4 linked regions of the Schizosaccharomyces pombe genome follow. The gene in region 4 interacts genetically with the main gene of each other region. Each region holds a gene or a part of one and is shown on either strand. Other genes may lie near its edges. The genes, in order: eaf1, rqt2, pfd2 and ubr11.

Region 1 (3,808 bases), on a different chromosome or scaffold from region 4:
GTTCTTCCTTAAACAACGTATTCATTATATTCCTTGTCCAACATGTTTACCTGGTAAAACACACCGCTAGTTGACACTATCTATACTGACTGATGCTGTTGGATGGTGATTTCTAGTTTAGTTTTTCTAATTACAACAATATATTTTCCTTAGTGGAAATGCTTTGAGTAACTTCTTTTCATTTTCATATATTCAGACTAAATAGGTAAGCTCGTCTTTTGCATGCAGGAAACTGAAACGACAAATGTTGGATTGCAAGGATGCTTAATCATCTGATTTAATGAGCCTGATGGTCTTGACAACCAAAATGCTGTCAACTTTGATTACTGAGCAATTTACAAACGAATGTCAAAACTCTTTTTTTGTCTTTTTCCTGGTTCAGACAATTAGTTTTTCTTAACTCCTTTTACTAATTCTTTTTTTTACTAGTCAAGCTTCTTTTTTTTTTATAGTTTATTTAAAACCCCAACGTTGCTACTCTGGTATTGCCGTGGGTTGAATAAAATTGTCCGTCTCATGAAACGCTAAGACAAGCCATGTTTTTTATAGTCATTATGAATTAATAATAATAAAAAGAAATATAAAAAGATGAAAACATTTTAAAACGATATATGTTTTTCCCTTGGCGTAGACACGTTCGTATATAATTAAAAAAATGACACAGAGTGAAACGAGTTTATTACCGCCGATTCGCTGTCGAGTAGTGATGGAAAAGACTTGTCTTGCTTTACTTTACTCCCTGGAATTTCGTTGCAAGTCGTTCATTAACAGATTTTCTCATTATCGTGTTTGGAAAGTGTATACGAAACACAGCATAAAGCATACTTAATCCTCATCCTCGGAAGCGCTGCTGATACCCTCTGCCTGAGCAGAAGAAGCATAATCCCTCTCTTGCGAAGATAGACCCCTCAAAGAGATTGGTTTGCTGGCCGTTTGGGATACTGTAGAGGGGTCGTCTATGGAATTAAATTCCTGATCAAATCCTAGCTCTAACTCTTTGGCAAAGTCATCCAACTCCATGACCTCCATGTCAGGCTCATCGTTGGTATCGGTGGTGATTGGTCCCTTGCTAGATATGGCAGGATATCGAGTATTGCTCGATGAAGGTTTTATTTTTCCATCCTTTGAAGCTTCCAATTCCTTTTCTTTACGTCTCGTGGAATTAGTCGTGACCGCACTTTGAGAGGTCGATTTGGATTCAGAGATTTGGGAATTATCAGATTGAGTGATGGCATTAGAAGGTACAGTTTTAGAGACTTTTGGATTGCGTAAAGCATTTAATCGAGCAATCTCATCAATATGCTCCAGTGTGAATGTCTAATGCCTAATGTTAGTATCGTAGTAGTGACATGAAAACGATTCCTGTTCTATACATACACATGCACGCATGCATACATAGATTTTAACCTCTTTAAAAATAGTATATGGGACAATAACTTACCTTTGTTTTAGCGTTAAAAATTAGTACACAGTCCACATTCCTGGCTCGTTGGCATGAGCCTTCAAATATATGAGGCCTGTCATCATCCTACCAATGAAGATATACATTAGCATTCGTTGATTCAATAACAGAAGCAAATTGATGTTTCAAAATTTGAGGAACCAAAAAGTAAAAAAATGATTTTTTCAAATTTTTACTCCTCATGGAAGAAAAGGGAAACCAACTTTGCTTAGTCAATTTTATAATACTTACAAAAGTTGAAGGAAGACGTAGACGATAGGCTTCCTGAGCCTTTTCTAAAACACCTCGACGAGAAGGGTCCACACTTTCTGGTATAAAATTGTCTATAAACAAAAAAGAAATAAGTATTCTGCCTGGAGAAAGTATGATGTTCATAGTTTGCAACAGAGATATACACTGTCTCTAAAAATAAATGGGCAACGTACATTTAATAGATAAAAGTCCATTTGAATTCTTTGAGAAGCTGGACCCGGGAATAACTTTGTATGATCCCTTCTGTAATGAATTCATGATTGTTTATAATGGTAAAAGTCAGGCCTGTACGAAATTGGAAATTTCGATATAAATCAAATAAATAACGTAAGGTAAGACAGCTCAAGGTTTCTAATTTTAAACCCCAGAAATGTAAGCTACGCAGTTTGGTATCTGGTTTAAGGATACGTAGAACTGCGGTGAGTTTTCCTTGTGGTCTATTATATTACATTACACAGGTTGTATAAGTAGCAACTGAGAATAGGTATTGTATTAACAGGGTTATAATGTTACCTATCACTAATATAGCTCATAACTGAACTGAGGAACGAGGTTCAGTTGGAACTCTATTCATAATATTTCTAAATAGTTGTTATCATCGGGTATCTATGTATATAGACGGATAGTTACCCGTGATTATCAATAAACGGATCTTAGCTAGTATTCCAACATATGACATATAGTGATGCGCAACGTAGTGTATCATAGCGTAGTGTAGTATTGCTGACAAGAAATGAACGATAATGGATAAACACTCAATTTGCTATACCAATTTGCGAGCAGCTATTTTAGCATTCGTAAAAACGAACTTACACAGTGCGCGACCGAGAAAGACGTTGTAGGTTGTACAGTATATATCATTTCGGTACAAGGATGAATCCTTTATTTACAAGATATATATACATTCGAGGACTACCTGCGCACAGTCAGCAGTATGATTGAAATATTATAAAAATTTACTTGCGTTTCTTGTCTTTTAGGTGCATGTCGTAGGGCAAAATTCTCAGAGTATGATGACTGTTAGATTTATTGCTGCTATTGACAACAAAAACGTCACGATCGATTTAAAAATTAGTAAATCAGTAGTCAAAATACATGGTTTTTCTTATTGCTGCGTCAATCTATCATTCATTGATATTTATTAGCTACAGCTCATTTCTTTTTAAAAAATTTACCATATAGCGAATCGCGGGAAATGAACGTTTAACATTTTTAACGAAGTTAGCTTCTAATACATTAATTACGAAGAGCTTGTATAAACAGTTGACTAGTGTAAGCAGGTATATGAGCATTGTGAGCAAAGCCTTTTTGAATAAGATTATGTTTATTATTGTATTATTAATGTACCAAGTTGCATGGGGAAAAAGTCTACGACATTTTCATGAACATTCCATTCTCATTTCTCTACCTCTTGGATTATTATATTAACTTTTCATTTATGGTAAAGCAACATAATCTACGGCTTTACCGTACTCGGTTGTATGGTGTAGCGGTTAGCACGCGAGATTTTGATTCTCGAGATCTGGGTTCGACTCCCAGTACGACCTTTTTGCCAGAGCGAACAGTGAAAGGAAAGAAGCAAGAATTGCTTTTAGACCTGGGTTTGGATTACTTTTTTCGATATCGCCATAGCTTTATTATAAGTAAGGGCTCCTCGATGCGCTAGCAATTTCAAGGCATCGTTCATTAGTGTCTTTGTGAGGGTATATTAGCCGGAGCTGGAGCACATTGAAGCTTAACAGTATCAAAATTTATTTTTTATATTGTAAATCATTTCTACTAAATTATTTACCCACCCTTCATTTTCACGCTTTTCTACCCAACAACGATTTGGTTAATAACGTAAAGCGTACGAATTTGCAAAGCAACGCTTCCGTGGTGTACAGAAAATCGCTATTTTTTAACGAGACAACTTTAAAGCGTAATGCGATATAAAGTTTTTTTAAAGTATCCTTATATATTATTTAGCTAGCGTGGTTAAATTCCCTATTAATTTGCTCATACACTTTTTTTTGTTTCCTTTCCGTAACTTTACTAAACGCATCAACCGCAAATTACAGGTTTTTTAGCTGGGCTAACAAAGGTAATAGAAAA
Region 2 (7,723 bases), on a different chromosome or scaffold from region 4:
TTTTATTAAACAGACTTAAATATAATAAGGAAATTGGCTTAAAGCCTTCTATTTTTCTACAAAAGCTTCATTAAATCATCAATACAATTTTATGTTCGTAAATTAATGGGTATCCATCACAAACAACCATGACTTTTACATTTCTGTTGCGGCAAGTTGGTGGAATATCCATTGAAATCCGAAGGGATAAACGAATTGAATCATCGTTTCTTCGCCCAGCAAATGAGGCCCGACGTATCGCGAACAGTTCTTGAGTTTCTGAATCTATGATGAGAACGAAAAATCCCTCACTTTGAGGTTTAGGGAACAACGGCGCAAAAATGTAAAAATCGGGGTTGAGCGGCTGATTGAGGCGTCGTAGATAAAGGAGTAGCTTATCTGAAGACGATTGAGAAACTTCAATGTTCATTTTAGGATACGAAATTAAACTATTGACCAGACTTTCTATATCAAAAACGTTAGGGTCATTACATAGCATTTGATATAACTCATCAGTTTTATTTCCTGCAAATTTGTTGAGATAATCTCTTGCTTCCTTTTCACTAGACGCATTAAGTCCAGGTAATGAAGCTCTGTAAATCTCACTCGGATAGCAAGCCTGTTTAAGACACTGCATTAGAGATATGTACTGTAAACAGACATGGGAGTAGCCTAGCTCAGCGGACACATCAATATAAGACTGTATAATACGAATAACCTGATCTAAAACCGTGCTAGTATCAGTAACATAATCATCCACTGGAAGTTTCAATCTTGCCATGTGAGCTTGAGTTAATATAAATGCCTTAACATGAGCATCGACCATAGGAAGGTTTAGGCAAGCAGCCGAATATTTCAGAGATTTATTAATCTCTATGTTTATCAAATCTTCGTTGTGACGAATAGCGAGATCGTCAAACTCAGATGCTTCAGCAAGCAATTGCAACGCAAGATCGAACTCAGCGTTCTCAGTTATTTTTTGAACGAAGTTTCTGATGGTGGTATGAAAAAGATAATAGTAACTAACTATACGACCCAAAGTTGTAGGTGCATAGGTTTCTTCGTTGACACGATATATGCAAGCTGACTTTTCAAGTTCATTAAATGCAGTCACAACAAGTTTCGATAAATAAGTATCTATACTCTTTTGGTCATCTCCATCAGCACCGTAATAAACGGGATTTTGATGAACTCTTCGATAGAAGTAAGTGCACGTTAAAAAATCCATTGCACCCTGTATGCAATCTATAGTGCCCGTAGCAATCTCGGCATTTAAATGGTTATCCAATACTTTATGTAAATAAGACTCTACTGGAAATCCACTATGTAGAAAGTGCTTATAAAACGACTTCTTAATATCCTGTACAAATATACGTGCCACACCAGAATTGTCAAATTGTGGTCGTCCTGCACGCCCTAACATTTGAAGCACATCCGTCAAATCCATGTCTTTATAGCCTCCAATTTTAGCATCGTAATACTCTGTTCCTTTCACAATTACCAAATGTGCCGGCGTATTTACACCCCATGCAAGAGTGCTGGTGGCGATGAGAATCTGAACTTTATTATTTACAAAAAGCTCTTCGGAAATTTTTCTATCATTTTCAGTCAAACCAGCATGGTGAAGTGCTATACCAAATGGTAAAGCCAACTTGAGGCTTTTATCTTCAACTTCTGAAACAATCATTTCTAATTCTTCTTCATCCATGTACAAAAATCTCCTAGGATTGTCTTCTAAACCACAAAAAGCTATCAAATCTTTTGCAGTTAATCTAGTTTGACGGCGCGACGAAACAAAAATTAAAACAGGTTGGGTAGGAGAGTGCGTTTTGATGGCTTGAAAAGCAGGCTTATTCATCGACATCATCCTTGGGCAATAGGCTCTACCAGGGAATCCATCGATATATATTTCTAAAGGAACTGGGCGCACGGAATGCCTAAAATTAAATAGACCATCTCTTATGTTAAGCCAATTTGCAAGATCGTTAGCGTTAGCAACAGCAGTAGATAAACCAAGAACTCTAACTTTCTTATTAGTTTGAGAAGCAACATAATTCATTCGGGAGACAATCATTTCAAGGACAGGACCTCGATCGCTACCTAATAAATGGATTTCGTCAAGGATAATTAATGAGACATCCTGAACATACTTCCTAGATTTCCAACTTCTAGTAATACCATCCCATTTTTCCGGTGTTGTAATTATGATATTTGCATTCGTAACAGCCTTAACATCCGGGTTAGTATCACCAGTTAATTCAATCATACTAATCCCCATTGGTTCAACTAACCTGTGTCCCCAGTCCTTTACTCTTTCCTTGACTAAAGCTTTCATTGGAGCAATATAAACTACTTTCGACTTAGGATAATTGTGAAGAGCTCTCCAAGTAGCTAATTCTGCGGCCATAGTTTTACCAGATCCAGTAGGTGCACCAACGAAAATATTTGTATCGGTGTGATAAATAGTGTGAAAAAATTGAGTTTGGACTGCATTAAAAAACGAGAATCTTTTAGCGCATATACCTTCTAGCACTGGATCGTGCAAAGCCGTAATTGGTAAAGGTTGAAGATCCAATAATTCTGTAATGGGATTGGAATCGTCATGAAAAACAACATTAGAAAGAGAAACCGGGGTAACTGTTTCAGCGCCTAGCCATTTATCTGATACTGCAATAATGTATAGTTGTGAGGGTAATGGATTAGACACAGGTATGGTAAAGGATAGTAAATGAGAAGTGCTAACGTTCCGTTTATTTAGGAGCAACTGTTCATGATGAAGAATCTCAAGACCGTTACTATCTTCAACAAATATCCAAAACATTTGACTGTTTCCATGATATCTCATGTCCCAATTAAAATTGGGAGTGATATTTAATACAAGTCGCAAAACGTTTTTCGTTAAAGGTAGCAAATCAACATTAATGTTTAAAAGAGGTAATTTGGAAATAAATTTTTTAACTGTAGGGCCCATTTTTCGGTTATGAATAAGATCACCAAGTTCTCCTGTAGACATGTCCGACAATTCTTCTAATGATAAAGACCCACACTGATTTTCCACTTTGACTGCAAGGTCATGTGGAAGATCAAACTGAAGTAAGGGGTGTTCAAAAGACCACTGCCTCCTATCAATTGACTTGTTTAAGCTAAGGATAGTAAATGCCGAGGCCCAAGTCCTTGACATTGCAATTTCGAAAAGAGCCCTAGTTATTCGACCCGCGTTTTGTGCAACATAATTTGTATCTGATGTTAGGGTAAAATCTTCTACATGCGCACGAGAAATGTATGACTGCAGAATAACGTTAACTTTTCCTGATGTATTCGAAATACTATCCCTCAACTGACAAGGACTACTGTTTTCCATTAGTGATTCAAGCTCACGATGCTCATTTTCTCTCGATTTGATTTGGGAAAACTCGCTGCATTGGCTCAAAAGAGCTATAATGTCTGCTTCCGACATTTTGCTTTTCAATAAATTATTTAATGTTGAGACAGTTTGATAATTGATATAGTAATTGGACGCGATTCTACCTAAATCTTTAGGAATCAGGTATCCGTTTTTCTTATTGTAAACGATCATTTGATTATCTGCCAGCCTTCCTGCCGCTACAGATACCAATTCTCTTCGCTTGCTGCCTAGTAAAGGATCCTCAACAAGTTCGTCATAAGCAATACCGTATACAAGTGGATTACGTCTCATCCTGATATAAAGATAAGTATAACCTAACCACGATACAGCTTCGTCAATATTAGTTACCGTTCCTAAAGAAACTTCAGCGTTTAAGTTGTCAACCAATCTATCGGTGAAACGAGATTCAATAGGGCTTTGTTGTGTTACAACGGAGATGTAATGAGAAAGTTTATCATGTGTCGTAATTATGTACGCGACTGCCGAACTTTCAAACTGAGGACGACCAGCACGACCGAATATTTGTAAAACGTCCAACACGCCAAGATCTACAAAAGAACCCTTTTGTGGATCATAAAGCTGAGTTCCTTTAATTAATACAGCATAAGCCGGTAAATTAACACCCCATGCTAGGGTAGCAGTACAGCATAAAATTTTAAGAATACCCATAGAAAACAAACGTTCAGTAAGATGTCGGTCCGATCGTAACATGCCAGCGTTGTGAATCCCCATACTGTATTTGAAAAGTTCTTTTAACTCTTTGTTTTTTGACTTTGAAACATCTCTTTGAGCTAGACTATATTTTTCATGTTGTGAGTTGTCCAACAAATCAGCCTCTCCCTCATGGAAAAATTGTTCCCTCAACTTCTTAGCTGAATTAATGGTTTCCTTCCTAGAATGTACAAATATCATTACCTGATGGCCTTCCTGAATCAGTTTCAAAACTTTATCAAAACAAGCTTCATCAATATTTGAGTTTACTATTTTAGGAGAACCTTTAGCACCGATGAAATGCTGTTCAATAGGGCATGGACGAAATGCAGATGAAAAATAAAACAATCCCTTGTACCTATTGACGCCTAAAAAATCAGCTACATCAAGGTAGTTTGGAAGTGTGGCAGAAAGACCAACAATTCTAATCATCTGTTGACTTGTTTCTACCAGCCTTTGTGTCCTAGCGACAAGTGATTCAATAACAGCACCACGTTCATCATGAAGCATATGTACTTCATCAATGATAACCAAACGTACTTTCTCGGCTAACTGAGTGTCGCCGACGCTTTTTCTAGTAACTACGTCCCATTTTTCAGGTGTTGTAACAAGTATCTGAGTTTCTGCTATTTCCGTTTTGGTTAGTTGCATATCACCAGTAAGTTCTCTAGTTTTCAATCCCAACCAAGCGAGACGTTTTCCCATTTTCTCTACAACCTCAGCAGCCAATGCCTTCATAGGAGCAATGTAGACAATCTTAAAATCATCTCTATGAACATCTAGAGGTTCCGATTCATCCATAAGATTCATACTTTCTACATAGTTGGAGATTGTTTGCAACATTGCGAGCAGAGCAACATCAGTTTTTCCTGCACCTGTAGGTGCACAAATTAACATATTCTCGTTTGTCTTGTAGGCGATAGGATAGACAAGCGATTGGATTCTGTTCAAAGTTTGGTAGCTAAGGAATGTTTTTCGACAAAGAATATCCATCGAAGAAATTTCTAACAACTTTTCCCCTTGCATTTGTGGAGCACGCTGAGCATGAGGAACAATAATCTCTTCATATTTCTGGTAATCTTCTCTTTCACTACCAGCCGGTAATGCAAACTTTTTCCCAATGACGCTAATAGTATTACCAAGCCTTTTATCCCCATACACATGAGGATATTTTTCCACTTCAAAAACTTGCTGTCCAGTAAATAAAGGACCTCTGTTATCACGAGACCGACTAAATCTTCTCGGCCTACTTTTTAAACTGTCTAATAATCCCTGACCATGCGTAGCAGAAGAACCAGCTTCAGAGGTATAGCCATCAGAAAGTTGCGCAGCAATTGAAGTATCATTTTGATTCATGTATTCTTCTATTAAATTGGACGAATTAGCGACGATATCTGAAATCAAGTCAATATGATCAAGTCCAACAAGATTCAGTAAATCTTCTTGAATGGCACATTGATCTTCAGTCGCTTTTAGGCTCATAATGACTGCTTCAAATAGTACTGAAGCATCAAGTTCAGTACTTGAAGATTGAGAAATTTCATTGCAGCAATTTTGCAGCCAAGTTAAATCTTTAAGAGCAAATTCATTATTGTCGGAGTCAGTAACGTCCTCGGGATTGATTAAATTATAATTTGTTTTCAAAATTTCGTCAACTTTTAACGATAAAGCACCTAGCTCAGCATTCGAATCACTCAGCGAAAAGCTATATGGAGTATCACAAAAACTAGCAGGACCTAGCTTTTCTAAGTGATTCACTACATAATTTAACTCAACTTCCATGAAAACTGTAAAAGGATAGATCGTTGAAATTAAAACCTCCTTAAACAGAAAAAATTTGAATTTTTATTGCTTTTATAGGATTGTATCCAATATACTACCCAATTTAGCACTGCTAGTAGTGTAGGGGATGGTTTGTAAACAAATGGCCACTACCTATTATTTGTGTAATAGAAAAATACCGTAGTCGAAGGTATTATGTGTGTACATACGATTGCAAGAAGTATGGCGTTTTCAACCAAAGCAGAAACAAACTTAACCCACACCATTAACTTGATTTACAGCATATTTACAGAATGAAGCTGTATTCTGTCTCTATACTCCGCTTTGACCCAAAACCAGTGCAATTATTATGCACTGCCTCAGACTTATCTAGTTTCTCATTTTTTCAACGATCATCGTATGTGCAAGATTTAATTGAAGAGTAGTTTGTTAACAAATATTTCAGCATCGGAGAGTTCATGAATTTTTTTACAAAGACTGTTGCAGAACGTACTAATCCAGGGCAAAGACAAGACGTTGAACAGTCCAATTACGTTTTTCATGTGTACAACCGATCGGATGGGTTGTGCGGTGTGATTGCTAGTGACAAGGAATACCCTTTACGTGTTGCTTATACTCTTCTAAATAAGATTCTAGACGAATTTTTGACAAAAAATCCTCGCACCAAATGGGAATCTGGTGCTGTTACCCTATCCTTTCCAGAATTGGATACCTATCTATCAAAATATCAAGACCCCAAGCAGGCTGATACGATTATGCGAGTGCAACAAGAATTGGATGAAACTAAAGATGTACTTCATAAAACAATCGAGAGTGTCTTAGCTAGAGGAGAGAAGTTGGACGACTTGATCCAACGTAGTGATAACTTATCTACACAGTCTCGAATGTTTTATAAATCTGCTAAAAAGCAAAATTCTTGCTGTATAATAGCTTAATTATTTTATAAATTCATTTGTTTGGTTTTCCTTTCTTCCCAATGCCCAAATTATATCATATTTTTTCAAGTTGGTATTCTTGCATTTTGTTTGCTGCAATTATCGATTGAATATCAAAACCTTGTTAATTTTTCTGCGCCTGTTCCTAGAGTCCATGAAATTGTTCTTCTATCATTATCTTTAATCTGATCTTTTCATGACACGTTGTTTGCATTCCGGATTGCTTTTATGTTATAGAGTAGATTACTTGTTGAAAAAGTCTAGCATGTTTCAATGAGCATACACACTCTTCGTTGATGCTCATAGCATGAATGGTTCACTTTATAAACTTGTAAAGGAGATTTTTTTAAAGATTGTAAAATTATTGAGTTTGTTGGAGCGAGAAAACTATCGGGCTTTTTTCGTTACAGATTTTTCTATAGTTTAGATTTATCTTCTAGTATATATCAAGTTACACAAACTCAATTGTTGTTGGCAAGCAAAATGGTTTGGTAGTAATTTTCATTATTCGTTAATGCTATTATGCATTTCTTTGATAAAATAGTTCAAGAAAGGTAGTGGTTTGGTACCCTTCGTTTATTGAAGTAAAAGTTTGAAGGGTTGAGGAGTATGTGCAAGCACGCCATCAATATGCTGCAGATGCAGCTGCATCTATATTTTATTACCTTCCCGGTATAGGTTGCTTCTTCTTATAATAAAGCGATTTGCATGATCGAAAGCCCTCCTTCGAGCTAGGTATTATGGTGATTAATTCTCCATCCAGTGTATAGTAGTTTCCTTGATAGAGTTTTGCTTTTTCTTGGAATTGCTTTGCATCCTCTACAAAATGATTTTCCTTATTGTGCTGCATGTGAATGTGTGCAAGAAAATTGGTGTAATGGATTAGTAAACAAACACATTACAATCCACT
Region 3 (3,243 bases), 3.2 Mb from region 4:
CTTTCAATAATTTCACGTATTTGCTTGGACCATCAAGCATTTTTAGGAAATACCTTAGAGGCTATTGCTAAAGAAAAGGCTGGGATCTTTAAAAAGAATGTTCCGTGCGTGGTTGATGGGTTAAATGAAGTTAACGTCCTAAATCAATTAAAATTAAGTGCAGAGGAAACGAGGGCACATCCGTTTTATTTGGCAAAAGGAAAATCAGGTGAAAACAAAAATGAGTGGATCATCAATACTCCAAATTGGGGAACCAATACTTTTAGTACTCCATTGAAGGGGGATTATCAAGGACAAAATTTGGCTTGTGCAGTAACTGCTCTCGATATCCTTTCTTCGTCATTTTCAATTATGCTTCCCCATGTACAAAATGGTGTAAAAAATACATCTTGGCCTGGAAGGCTTGACATTCGTTCGGTTCCTTCTTTGGGTGATATTTTATTTGACGGAGCACACAATAAAGAAGCTGCGATTGAGCTTGCGAAATTTGTAAATTCGCAAAGACGTGAGCACAATAAATCAGTATCATGGGTAGTAGCTTTCACTAACACAAAAGACGTTACTGGGATTATGAAAATCCTTCTTCGTAAAGGAGATACCGTTATAGCGACAAATTTTTCTTCAGTAAGTGGGATGCCCTGGATTAAATCAATGGAACCTGAAGTTATAAAAAACAGTATATCTTCGGAATCTTCTGTGGAATGCTATACTGCAGATAATCTAACAATAAGCGAAATTTTAAGACTGGCAAAAGAGAAGAATTCCAGCGTAATTGTATGCGGTAGTCTTTATCTTCTAGGAGACATGTATCGTTATTTAAAACTGGACGTATAGCCTCTAAATCGTGCTGTTTACTTTCATACGTTTTTCCTTGTTTGACAAATTTATCATATGAATTGTCACAGAGTGATGAATTGTGCTCTAGAGAATTTTGTTCCATGACTTAAAAACTAAAATTTACTTTCAAAGAAGCTTGAATGATGCTATCAGGTTAATAGAAAAAAGATAAAAGATTTATATTAAGCTTTGATGGGTTTTTGGTGTGAGTTAAGATATTGAGTTAGAAATTGACTTATAGATTACGAATACATTAGTTTAAATACTTGGTGCGCTCTGCCTGCAGCCTTAATAAAACAGATATTATTTTCATTATGTGACTAGATCTTGATTTACAATTCTTACAAGATAAGGTGGGATAACTGAAGCATATTTAGCACATTGAAAGATTCCGCCTTTCTTTTAATTATTATTAAATACTGTCGTAACTGCAATAAAATAAGTAAAACGCTGAAATCGTTAAAAAAATATACCCTTCTATCTCACAGGTTGAGCTAATCAAGTTGATATACGTATAGTGCAAATGATAGGCATTTAAAAATTAGACTAATATAGTTTAACTATTACATTAATTTTAAAATACACAAACATTTAATTACTGTTTTAAAATTATACTCAGAGTCTAATTAATTACAGATTTACCGTAATCCATAGCGCTTGTTATCTATCATTACAGCAACAATGATTGCTACGCACTAAAATTCGTATACGTTTTAGATATAACATGTATAATCCACCAACATTTTTTGAGTATACAAAAAAGCAGAATGGCTGAACAACCTTCTCGGCAGCAGAGTATGTACTGTGGATGAGTTTAAAATACAAAATAGTTGACCAGTTCCAGTTCTACAGACGCAGTACAATTCATATAAGTCTCGGTTACAACAAATTGCGCAGAAGATTGTCGATTTGGAAACCGATGCTGACGAACATAAGTATGTGATACATAAAAAATTTTTAAATTAAATACCTAACTAAAAAGACTTGTTATGGACACATTAAACTCCATGGATAATAATCGACGTTGTTTTCGAATGATCCATGGAGTGCTAGTGGAGAGAACGGTGGGAACTGTTGTGCCTATCCTTAAAACTACTCAAGAAGGGGTAAGGAATTTTTTTATTTTGACCCTTTATTGTCAGATGAATTTTTGGTCTTGATGTACTAATCAAAATATTAGATTCAAACAGCCATGAATGGTTTGCTCGACCAGTATAAGCAGCTCGAAGCAGAATTCCAAAAGTTTCAAAAAGACAATAAAATTCAAGTCGTTAGACAATAATACAGATGACTCCATTAATTGCGCAGTTGCGTTCATTGACACGCCGACTGTTTTTCAAGTGCTTTATCTTCGGTTTAACATTTTTTTCCTAAACAGAGGAACAGGGATAGAATCCAAGAGTATTTGTGTCATCAAATATCATCACTTTATGTTATTAGAGTTTCACTTAAACCGTAGACTTAATACATGTAGTAAGTTAGGTAGAACTAACTTGATTGCGTCTCTACCTCCTTCACCTCAGGCGGAGATGTTTGAGCAACTTCATCAACAACGTGCTGGGAATCCTTATGGTCGACTTCGTTTGATTTTTCTTTAATTACATTATAGCACACAATTTTTTCAGAGGGTATGTCCTCTTGAATTTTGAAAGCAGGTAATGAGCATAAACCGGGAACGTGAATAGTCATTGAATATGCACAGCTTGAAACTTCTTGATATTGAGTAATTTCAGGAGTATCCGAATTTGTACTGCATTCATAACTTAGAATTACGTGTCTTGGTCTCTTAGTAATGTCGCACATAGTCCCATTTCGGAAAGTTGTTTGCAAATATGCTTTACCTTCAACAAATCCAATAGCCCAATTTTCTTCCAAATTCTTTTTAGTTTGAGTGTTAGGTGCCGTACCAAGTATATACATAGGGTTAGCAAGGACTTTGTCAGAACCTTGCTGCGGCTCCAAATGATATTGACGCACGTGTTGACCGTAGACATAGTCATAAGTCCAATAACCACGATTCTAATACAATGATTAGCTTGAAAAACACTACATGTACTAAAAGTAGTCATTAATTCTAAAATTTTTATGGACATGTCAAATAATGACCTTTTAGTAAAGTTGGTTTGTTTAAGACAAATAAAACAATTAGAACTCGTACCTCGATTAAAAATACATTAGCAAGCTCATTGATTTTTTCAGTCCCTTGTATCCGCAATTCTTGTAAATCATAGCTTGGTTCGGTTGTGCTATTTTGTTTTATAAGAGACGCATTGGGATATACACAAAAATATTCATGCTTTCCAGCATAGAATAATGACGATAATTTAGTTTTTTCAGTTTTTTCTTTAATTGAGTCAATGTCGCCCTCTAATATTGACACATTACTCCATTCAAACGAATATTTAG
Region 4 (7,788 bases):
CAAATCCGGCTGGTCCCTTTATTTTTACATTATCCTAGGTTTTTGAGGAAATAATTAAATTCAATATCCAAGGCTGATAAATCCATGTATAAATGCTGTTTGTTATTTATTCAATTTATACTACTGATGCGGCTTTGCGCATTTGCATTGTATGCATCTTTGCTTGCAACACTAAGTAGCGATTTCTCGCTTGGCTACATCTAACGTACGATTGATAATTTATTAGCAGAAGAAACTAGGGTAGTGTAACAACATACTCGAATGATAAAAGTCGTTTGATTAACCTTAATGACAAACGTTTAGCAGAGATATTCAAAGTTGGACAAAGTGTAGCAAGATAAAAGTAAGCGATAGCTGCACCTATTCAATTAAAAAAGCTTTGATTGTTGCACTATAAAGCGTAGTCATATAGTGGTCAATACCCTGAACCACTTTGTATGAGAAACTAGGTATTGGAAGCAGAAAATGAGGAGAACTCGGATATTAATACCTATTCCATTTTTGCTATGATTCAGTCAAGCTAATATGAACGACATTCATTTTCTGGCATTCATCATACTTTCAATATTGGTCTTGCCTTTACAATTTATTAAGTGATTTCTTTCCAGCTTGTATCTGGTATAATGTTGTCTTATTCTGTAAATCTCACTACCCGATCGCCATCTTTGTTCCAGAGAAAATAAAGTAACTGTATTATACTTGCTATTTTATGTTTCAATATTATACTACTTATGTGCTTAAGAAACACTTGACATTGTAAATATAAGAAAAGCACACTAACTTACCACTTTCTAAACAACATATTACATATTACTAATTCAAGAAAGCCGACAACAGTCGCAATGGTGTAGTTGGGAGCATGACAGACTGAAGATCTGTTGGTCATCGGTTCGATCCCGGTTTGTGACACTTTTTTCCTTTTTCCCTAAAGAAAGATCAGCAATAATTGTTGCTAAATTTATTTTAAACACACTAACTATTCCCGTCATGTGCCAACTTAATTAGTTGGAAAGAGTCGAATTTAGCCTCCGTGCTCGGCAACAATGTAAGAGCAATTGCTTTTATTTGCTAACAATACTGCTGGAAAACTAATGAAATTTAAATAAACTATTCCCATGAAGTAATATTTATTTCTTTAAGGTTATCTATTATTTTAAAGCCTTTTTCAACATTTAACCCATTTTTCAAGCCATCAACTTTTGGCCCTACTTAAAGTATTATAGTATAGTATAGTAAAATATAGTGTGCGCATGCTACTGTTTAACCTTGATATGATTTCCATGGGCCCGAAGTATTCAAGCGCTCATTAAAATCTACTATGCACTGCGATAACAATATTTACTTTGAAATCTTGGGGTGTTAGATAATTGAGAAGTTTGGGTAATTCAAACTCGATGGAAAATTATCACCCAAAGGAAAAAATTTTAATTAGATTAAAAAGGATAAATAGTTTAAGAATCTCGAGCTGGATTACTCTAGGGTGCATATCTCTTACTTTCCAACTCATATGATGGTGATTCCTATCTGGCAAAGGATGAAATCAAGCCCACTAGATCGAAACGAAAAAAAGCAATCAACACATATTAACACATATTAAGAAGAAGGAAATAGGAAATTGAATTGAAAGTAAATGGCTTTAAAGAGTTGACTACAGCTGATGAATTTATCAAGCTGGTGTCATTTTTTGGTATCTTCAATTGGCTACTGATACAAGAAAGGTGACGATGTTACCTGAAAGTAGTATAAATGGATTTTTGGCAATGGCAAGAAGTAACTCGCCATTTAGGTATACAAATCAGAAATATTAAGAAGGAACGGTTTATAGCTGCCAAAAATATTTTTAGAGAAATTTGTTTCAACAGAAAAGTTTAAAGAAGGTAAAGGAGGATTGGAGTTTGCTTTATTCAACTGAATGCTGTTTCAATTACTTCCCCAATTTTCTGTTGATGAAAATTTGTATATTCCGTGGCTTTAGCGTGCCTGTTGTTTATTAAATAGCTTTTTTAAACCAATTTAATTATTGAAGAAAACTTTGCGGCCCAAGATCTACTTCACAGAACCTTTCCTATAATTTCATGCAATTGCACGACCCGCCGGCTCCTCTTTCGCAACCATCGGCTTCTAGGTTACAAAAATACCTTCTAGAAAGCGCGGAAAAGCATGCATACGATTCAAATGAAGAATCAAAAACGCACTTGCTGCAAGAGGTTTTCCTGTCGTTGCTGAATTACAACGAAGACAATTGGAAATATTTTCTCAAAGAAAAGCCAGGTGCCATTACTTCTGACTTTCGTCTCTCGAGGCTTCAGCACTCTGAACCCGAATGCGCCCAAGAATTACAAGATAAACGTTCTGGGTCCAAGGTTTGTGGCCACGTATTTCGTGCCGGCGAGGTGATATATCGTTGCAAGAACTGTGGGCTAGATAACACATGTGTTCTTTGTGCTCCTTGCTTTCATGCCACAAACCACGAGGGTCACGAGACTCATGTATCTATTTCAACCTCTTATAGTGGAATCTGCGACTGTGGCGATCCTGAGGCATGGAATGTCGACCTTAACTGCAAGATACATAATGTCCCCGATGACGAGGAGCAGAAAAAGCCAGAAGAAGTGATCCCACTAGAACTTCAACACTCTATCCGTACAACTATTCATATTCTTCTTGACTTCATTCTCGATGTCTTTTCTTGTTCCCCCGTGAATCTTAAAGCTCAATCTACTGTCGGTAGCATCTTAGCAGATGAGGAGGCCTCTCGTCTTAGCAGCGCAAAGTATGGTGTAGCTGATAGGCCTTGCAACGTTTTCCGTGTAATGCTTTGGAACGACGAAGTGCATACCTTTGACGCTGTTGTAGGTAGTGTGCTTGAGGCGTTAGATTCGTCAAATACGGCTTTTGGACTTGAAGTCGCTCAACGTGTTGATTCTATTGGCCGCTTTGCTGTTGCTACATCGGCTTCAGTTCACGAAGCAATAAGAATCGCGAACGCTATTTCAAAAGAAAACTTAGCTGTTAATGTTCGTACTGCCCGCGATTTTTTTCGCGAAGATATTTGTGGTATTCTATTAGAATGGTTCGATGATCTTCTAGAATCACATGTTTGCTATTTTGCTGATTATTTACAAATTATCGTTTGCGATGAAATTTTGAAGAACTGGTCTCCTGGCCTTGAAAAACCTGCTAAGCCTGAGGTGAATTTTAATAACCTTCCTCTGGAGATTGTTAATGACGATGATAGCGAGGATGATATTTATGCCGCAGAAGAACTTCTCGATGTTATCGCAAACCTTCAAGATGAAACAGGTGTAACTAGAATTGCTAATTTGGGTGGTGATGAAGATTTTGAAGCGGATATGACCGATCCTACTATTGCAGGATTTGATCATCCACTTGATGATGATAACGACGTAAATGACCTTCTGGATTTTGAAACAGAACGAGAGGATATTGATGATTTAACTGATGAAGTTATGGAGACAGAAGAAAATGAAGCTGCTGAGGCTGATTATCCTGGTGTAAACCGAAACACTCGTCAAGACGATGTTCAAGATATTTCAATGGAAACCGAAAGTCAAAACGAAACTGATGAATCACAAAACACTGAAAATGTAGATTATAATCCTCAGACGCATACTCCTGTACCTATTCCCACTACTGCAACTCAGGATGTCGTTACTATTCGCCCGGAGTTTAACTCTCAACTCCTTAATAACCTTCGACAAATCATAAACGCTCGTCGTAGACCCCGCCCTGCTGCGGTTTGTCAAGTATCTCTTCGTGAGGATTATTGGAAAAGTCCTCATCCAATTCCTCCTTCGTCATATAGCTTCGTTGAATCTCCATCTTCCATTCTTCGTTTAGATTACTTTTTGCTGTTTGATCTCAAATTTTGGAAACGGTTAAGAGGGCTGCTCTCAAAATTGTATGTTGTTCCTTTTAATAGAAATCTTCTATTTAAGCGTCTTATGGGTATACGTTTCGTAATCCATTATAGGTCTCTCGCTACAGCGTTTCTTTTTGCAGATAGAGAGCCAGACCACTCTGTCATGTTTCTTTCCGTTCAATTTTTCACTACTCCTAGTCTTGCAGAAGCCGTTGTGAAAGACTATGATTTTTTAACTAATTTAAACGCAACAACTTTAAGCTTACTAACGCAGTCTAACCGGCCGTCAACCCTTTTTTCTTCAGACATTGAATACACTCCCACAATTCAGCTAAACCGACAAGTCTTAAAAACCCGAAGGACTTACAATTTGTTTAGTGATCTCGGATACTTACTTCAACATCCGCAAGTCAAAAAGCTTGTAGTGGATGATACGCGTTATGTTCATCAGTATATTGATTTGTTACGGGTGTTCCAAGGTGTGATTCCACAACAACGGGCAATACTCAGTCACGTACAGTGGGATTTTCCTCATGGGAAAAATATATTGTTTGTAATGCAAAGGGTAGCTATGCTCAGTAACACTGTTTCATCTTGTTTTACACAAGCACCATATGAACGGTTGTTTTATGCTATAAAATGTATCATAACTTCCATCACCCACCCTAAATTAGACATTGCAGAGTCTCTCGAACCTCTCTCTTGTATTCCCTCTTCATCTTTGACAAATTTTACACAGCCCTTAGTTCCGTTTTCCGTGTCGAGGGATCCTATAAGTTTTTATCATCCTCTTCACTGGATGCTTTCCAATTTATTTTCATATTGTCGTGTTGACGCTTCTTCTCATTGGGATAAGGATACACTACTTGCTCTTCTTGACCATCCTTTGAGGGTTTGTGTGCTTTTAGCTCAAATTGATTGTAACCTTTGGATAAGAAATGGGCGTAGTATTTTATTAACTGACGCTTTCTATCGTCAACTTAATAACATCGAAGTTTCTTATGATAAGGACATCCTCGCTATTCAAACAATATTAATGTTTGTTGATCCAAACTTGGTTTTAAATGCAGTTGTTCAAAGATTTGAATTTACTGATTGGCTTTATAATTTGACTTATAATGAACATCCCAATTACGACACGGAAAGAATACCAGCTATGTTGTGTAAAATGTTAGAGTTATTAATTGCCCTTATAACAGAGCGCGAACAAATTTTACATGTTGATATCCAAGATATTATTCGCACTCGATTAGCTCAACAGCTATGCTTTGGTCCTCTTGCTTATTCTGCATTGCTGTCTACTATTTCAAGTAATTTAGTAGAGAGTTTGTCATTTGATAAAATTCGAGAAGAAGTAACTTCCTACAAAGCACCTGACGGTCTCCACGATTTTGGCGTTTACAGTTTGAAGGACGAATATTATGATTTGGTGGATCCATATTATTTTCATTATAATAAAAATGAACGAGAGGAGTCAGATACTATCCTTAAAAAACGTTTGGCGAAGAAAAATAATGTAAGTGCTGAGTCGATTATAATAGAACCAAAAATTAGATTTCTTGAGAAGGACGGCCATGATATATTTTTTGCAGCCGTCAATGCGAGCACTTTTAGTCTTATCATTTTTCGTGCGATTGAGTATGCACTTGTTCAAGCGGAGTCCTTTGGATCATCCGATATTGGAAATACTATTCTGGGCGATGCACTTCAGTTGTGTCTAATCTCTATGAAAATTCATGAATTCTCGAAATCAAATGACTTCTGCTCCCGTTCATGCGCTGAGCGTTATCCGACTGATAGTAGTATTATGAGAGAATTTGGTGGCAGTGCGTACTGCTTAGCGGAACTTTGTTTTGCAATTCTCAAGTCTCCTAAATACAAAGATGTTCATGTAAAAGTTAATGCTGTATTGGCTGGCTTACAAAAGAATGATCCATCTGCATATAGCAACATGCTGGAAGCTACACACTTTGAACTCTCAACTACCTCTTCTACTTCGGATTCTAACGAGATTGAGAAAACGCAGGAAAAGAAAAGATTAGCTTTAGAGAAACAGAAGAAAATTATGCAGCAGTTTCGCGATCAGCAAGCATCTTTTCTTGCCCAAAATACCGATTTCGATATCGGAGAAGATCAAACGGAAGATGAAGTTACAACAGAAGAGCCAGAGGAGGAAGTTAAGTACCATGAACATATCCGTGGTAATTGTTTGCTTTGCCAAGAGGAATGCAACGATCAAGCACCATATGGAGTGATCGGCATTATTCAAGGAAGCTCATTACTTCGAAAAACAGATGTTCACAGCGAAATCATTTTGGATGAAATTTATAGTGTTCCCCCTAATTTAGATAGGGAATCTCATTCGAGGCCATTTGGAAAAAAATATGATACAGTTGTTTTCAACCGTTCAAAAGATCGTTTATTAAGTGCTTATCCCCCAGGAAATAACATAAGAGGTGTTTTTGTCTCCGGTTGTGGTCATCTCATGCATTTAGGTTGTTTTAAAAACTATTACGTTGCTAGGTCCATGTATAGAAATGATGTTACCGCTGGGTTAAGTGAATACTATTACAAGTATTCTACTGCTAAATTTTTTATGTGTCCTCTCTGTAGGTCATTGTCGAATGTGTTATTGCCTATGCCTCAGATCCCCAAAATGTGTCTCAACATTGACACCCTTAATTTCCCTCGTAGCATGAATGGTTGGTTAGAGGAAATCGGTACTATGTCTTCCTCGAGCTTTGAATATCAATTAGTTCGAAGTTCTCTGTCCGACACGAAAGATACTTTTAGAAGCTGTTTCCTGAGACCTTGGATAAACAGCAAAATTATCTCGGCAATGCTTGCTCGCTTAAAGATAGCCGATGGTGCATTAATTGATCAAAGTAATAATCGGGACGTATCCGACCTTTATGATCGATATTGTGAAACAACAAAATTGGCTATGAAATTGGTTAAAGGAAGTACATTTACGAATGTTTCACCTCATGATTTACTGAACAGTTTGGCCTATACCGTTTCTTCTCTAGAAGTTAGTCAGAGGTGCTCTCCGAAACAAAGTGGAGCAACTCGATCGGTGTGGTTCAATGAACTGGGACCCCTAACATTATCGTTTTTGCCGACTTTATCTGATACCGTTTTGAAGTGTGTTTGTGATCAGATCATAAAATCTGACCAACAAGCCCTCTTGTTAATGGAGAGCCAAAAACTGTTAGTTTGTAAAATTTTCTATCGTCACTCGCAATTAAAGTCCATGTTGAGAAATGGCCGGATGTCTGACCATGATCAAATTCAACCGTTTTTGCTTTCAAATACTTTCGATGACTTTGTGAAAATTTCATCTTTAATGCTAATCTTTGGTAAACAAGATAATATTTTGTATTACGTTAAGCTTTTCTATCTTTCAGAAATTTGCAAGACAATAATTTCTATGATAAAAGTGGTTGCAGATTCATCGGTCGTTCCTGATTTAACCATTAATTATAGTCAGCAATCCAAGTCCCAATTTTATATTCTATGCAAGAATGTACTGCTTTGGTGTGGTTCTTCAAATAACATTGAAATTTTGGATGATGAGTCTAATTTACTTCGTTTAATGTCTTTGGTGGAGAAGTATTCTTTACCGTTTCTCCGACGAGTTGCTTTGGTATTATATTGCATGTTTGACATTTCACTCGAGTTCAATGAATTCTCCAACAATGAAGATGACAGTGAATTAGAAAGGCTTTCCAAATTAATAAAAGTTCCTCCTTTACAAGAACTGTATTCTCAAATGTCTTCTGATGAAAATAATCAGATTTTGGAATTAATCGCTGGCTGGTGTGAACACTTAGCTCAAAATACATGGGGTGATAGTACTATATCTTTGGAATATCCTGGCATATATGAGCTTGTCAAATTACCTC

The links.
Region 1: mutations in ubr11 (region 4) and eaf1 together harm fitness less than expected from each alone (positive genetic interaction), as found in Schizosaccharomyces pombe (one large-scale study listed by BioGRID).
Region 2: mutations in ubr11 (region 4) and rqt2 together harm fitness more than expected from each alone (negative genetic interaction), as found in Schizosaccharomyces pombe (one large-scale study listed by BioGRID).
Region 3: mutations in ubr11 (region 4) and pfd2 together harm fitness less than expected from each alone (positive genetic interaction), as found in Schizosaccharomyces pombe (one large-scale study listed by BioGRID).

The regions. Positions count from the first base shown.
Region 1 is NC_003421.2:1,859,942-1,863,749, forward strand, and holds eaf1 (RNA polymerase II transcription elongation factor Eaf1), read right to left. Parts: upstream 1,996-3,808; 5' UTR 1,973-1,995; coding exon 1,888-1,972; intron 1,786-1,887; coding exon 1,694-1,785; intron 1,529-1,693; coding exon 1,442-1,528; intron 1,318-1,441; coding exon 826-1,317; 3' UTR 526-825; downstream 1-525.
Region 2 is NC_003423.3:3,743,998-3,751,720, forward strand, and holds the start of rqt2 (ATP-dependent RNA helicase), read right to left. Parts: upstream 6,013-7,723; 5' UTR 5,879-6,012; coding exon 71-5,878; 3' UTR 1-70. Other genes in the region: SNARE protein Ykt6, read left to right, coding at 6,172-6,275, 6,324-6,813; protein smp2, read right to left, coding at 7,475-7,663.
Region 3 is NC_003424.3:512,227-515,469, forward strand, and holds pfd2 (prefoldin subunit 2), read left to right. Parts: upstream 1-1,575; 5' UTR 1,576-1,604; coding exon 1,605-1,632; intron 1,633-1,681; coding exon 1,682-1,772; exon of another isoform or gene 1,773-1,819; coding exon 1,820-1,943; exon of another isoform or gene 1,944-2,017; coding exon 2,018-2,119; 3' UTR 2,120-2,325; downstream 2,326-3,243. Other genes in the region: fol3 (folylpolyglutamate synthase), read left to right, coding at 1-834; putative misfolded glycoprotein sensor Yos9, read right to left, coding at 2,326-2,856, 2,996-3,243.
Region 4 is NC_003424.3:3,700,720-3,708,507, forward strand, and holds the start of ubr11 (ubiquitin-protein ligase E3 Ubr11), read left to right. Parts: upstream 1-1,772; 5' UTR 1,773-2,075; coding exon 2,076-7,788.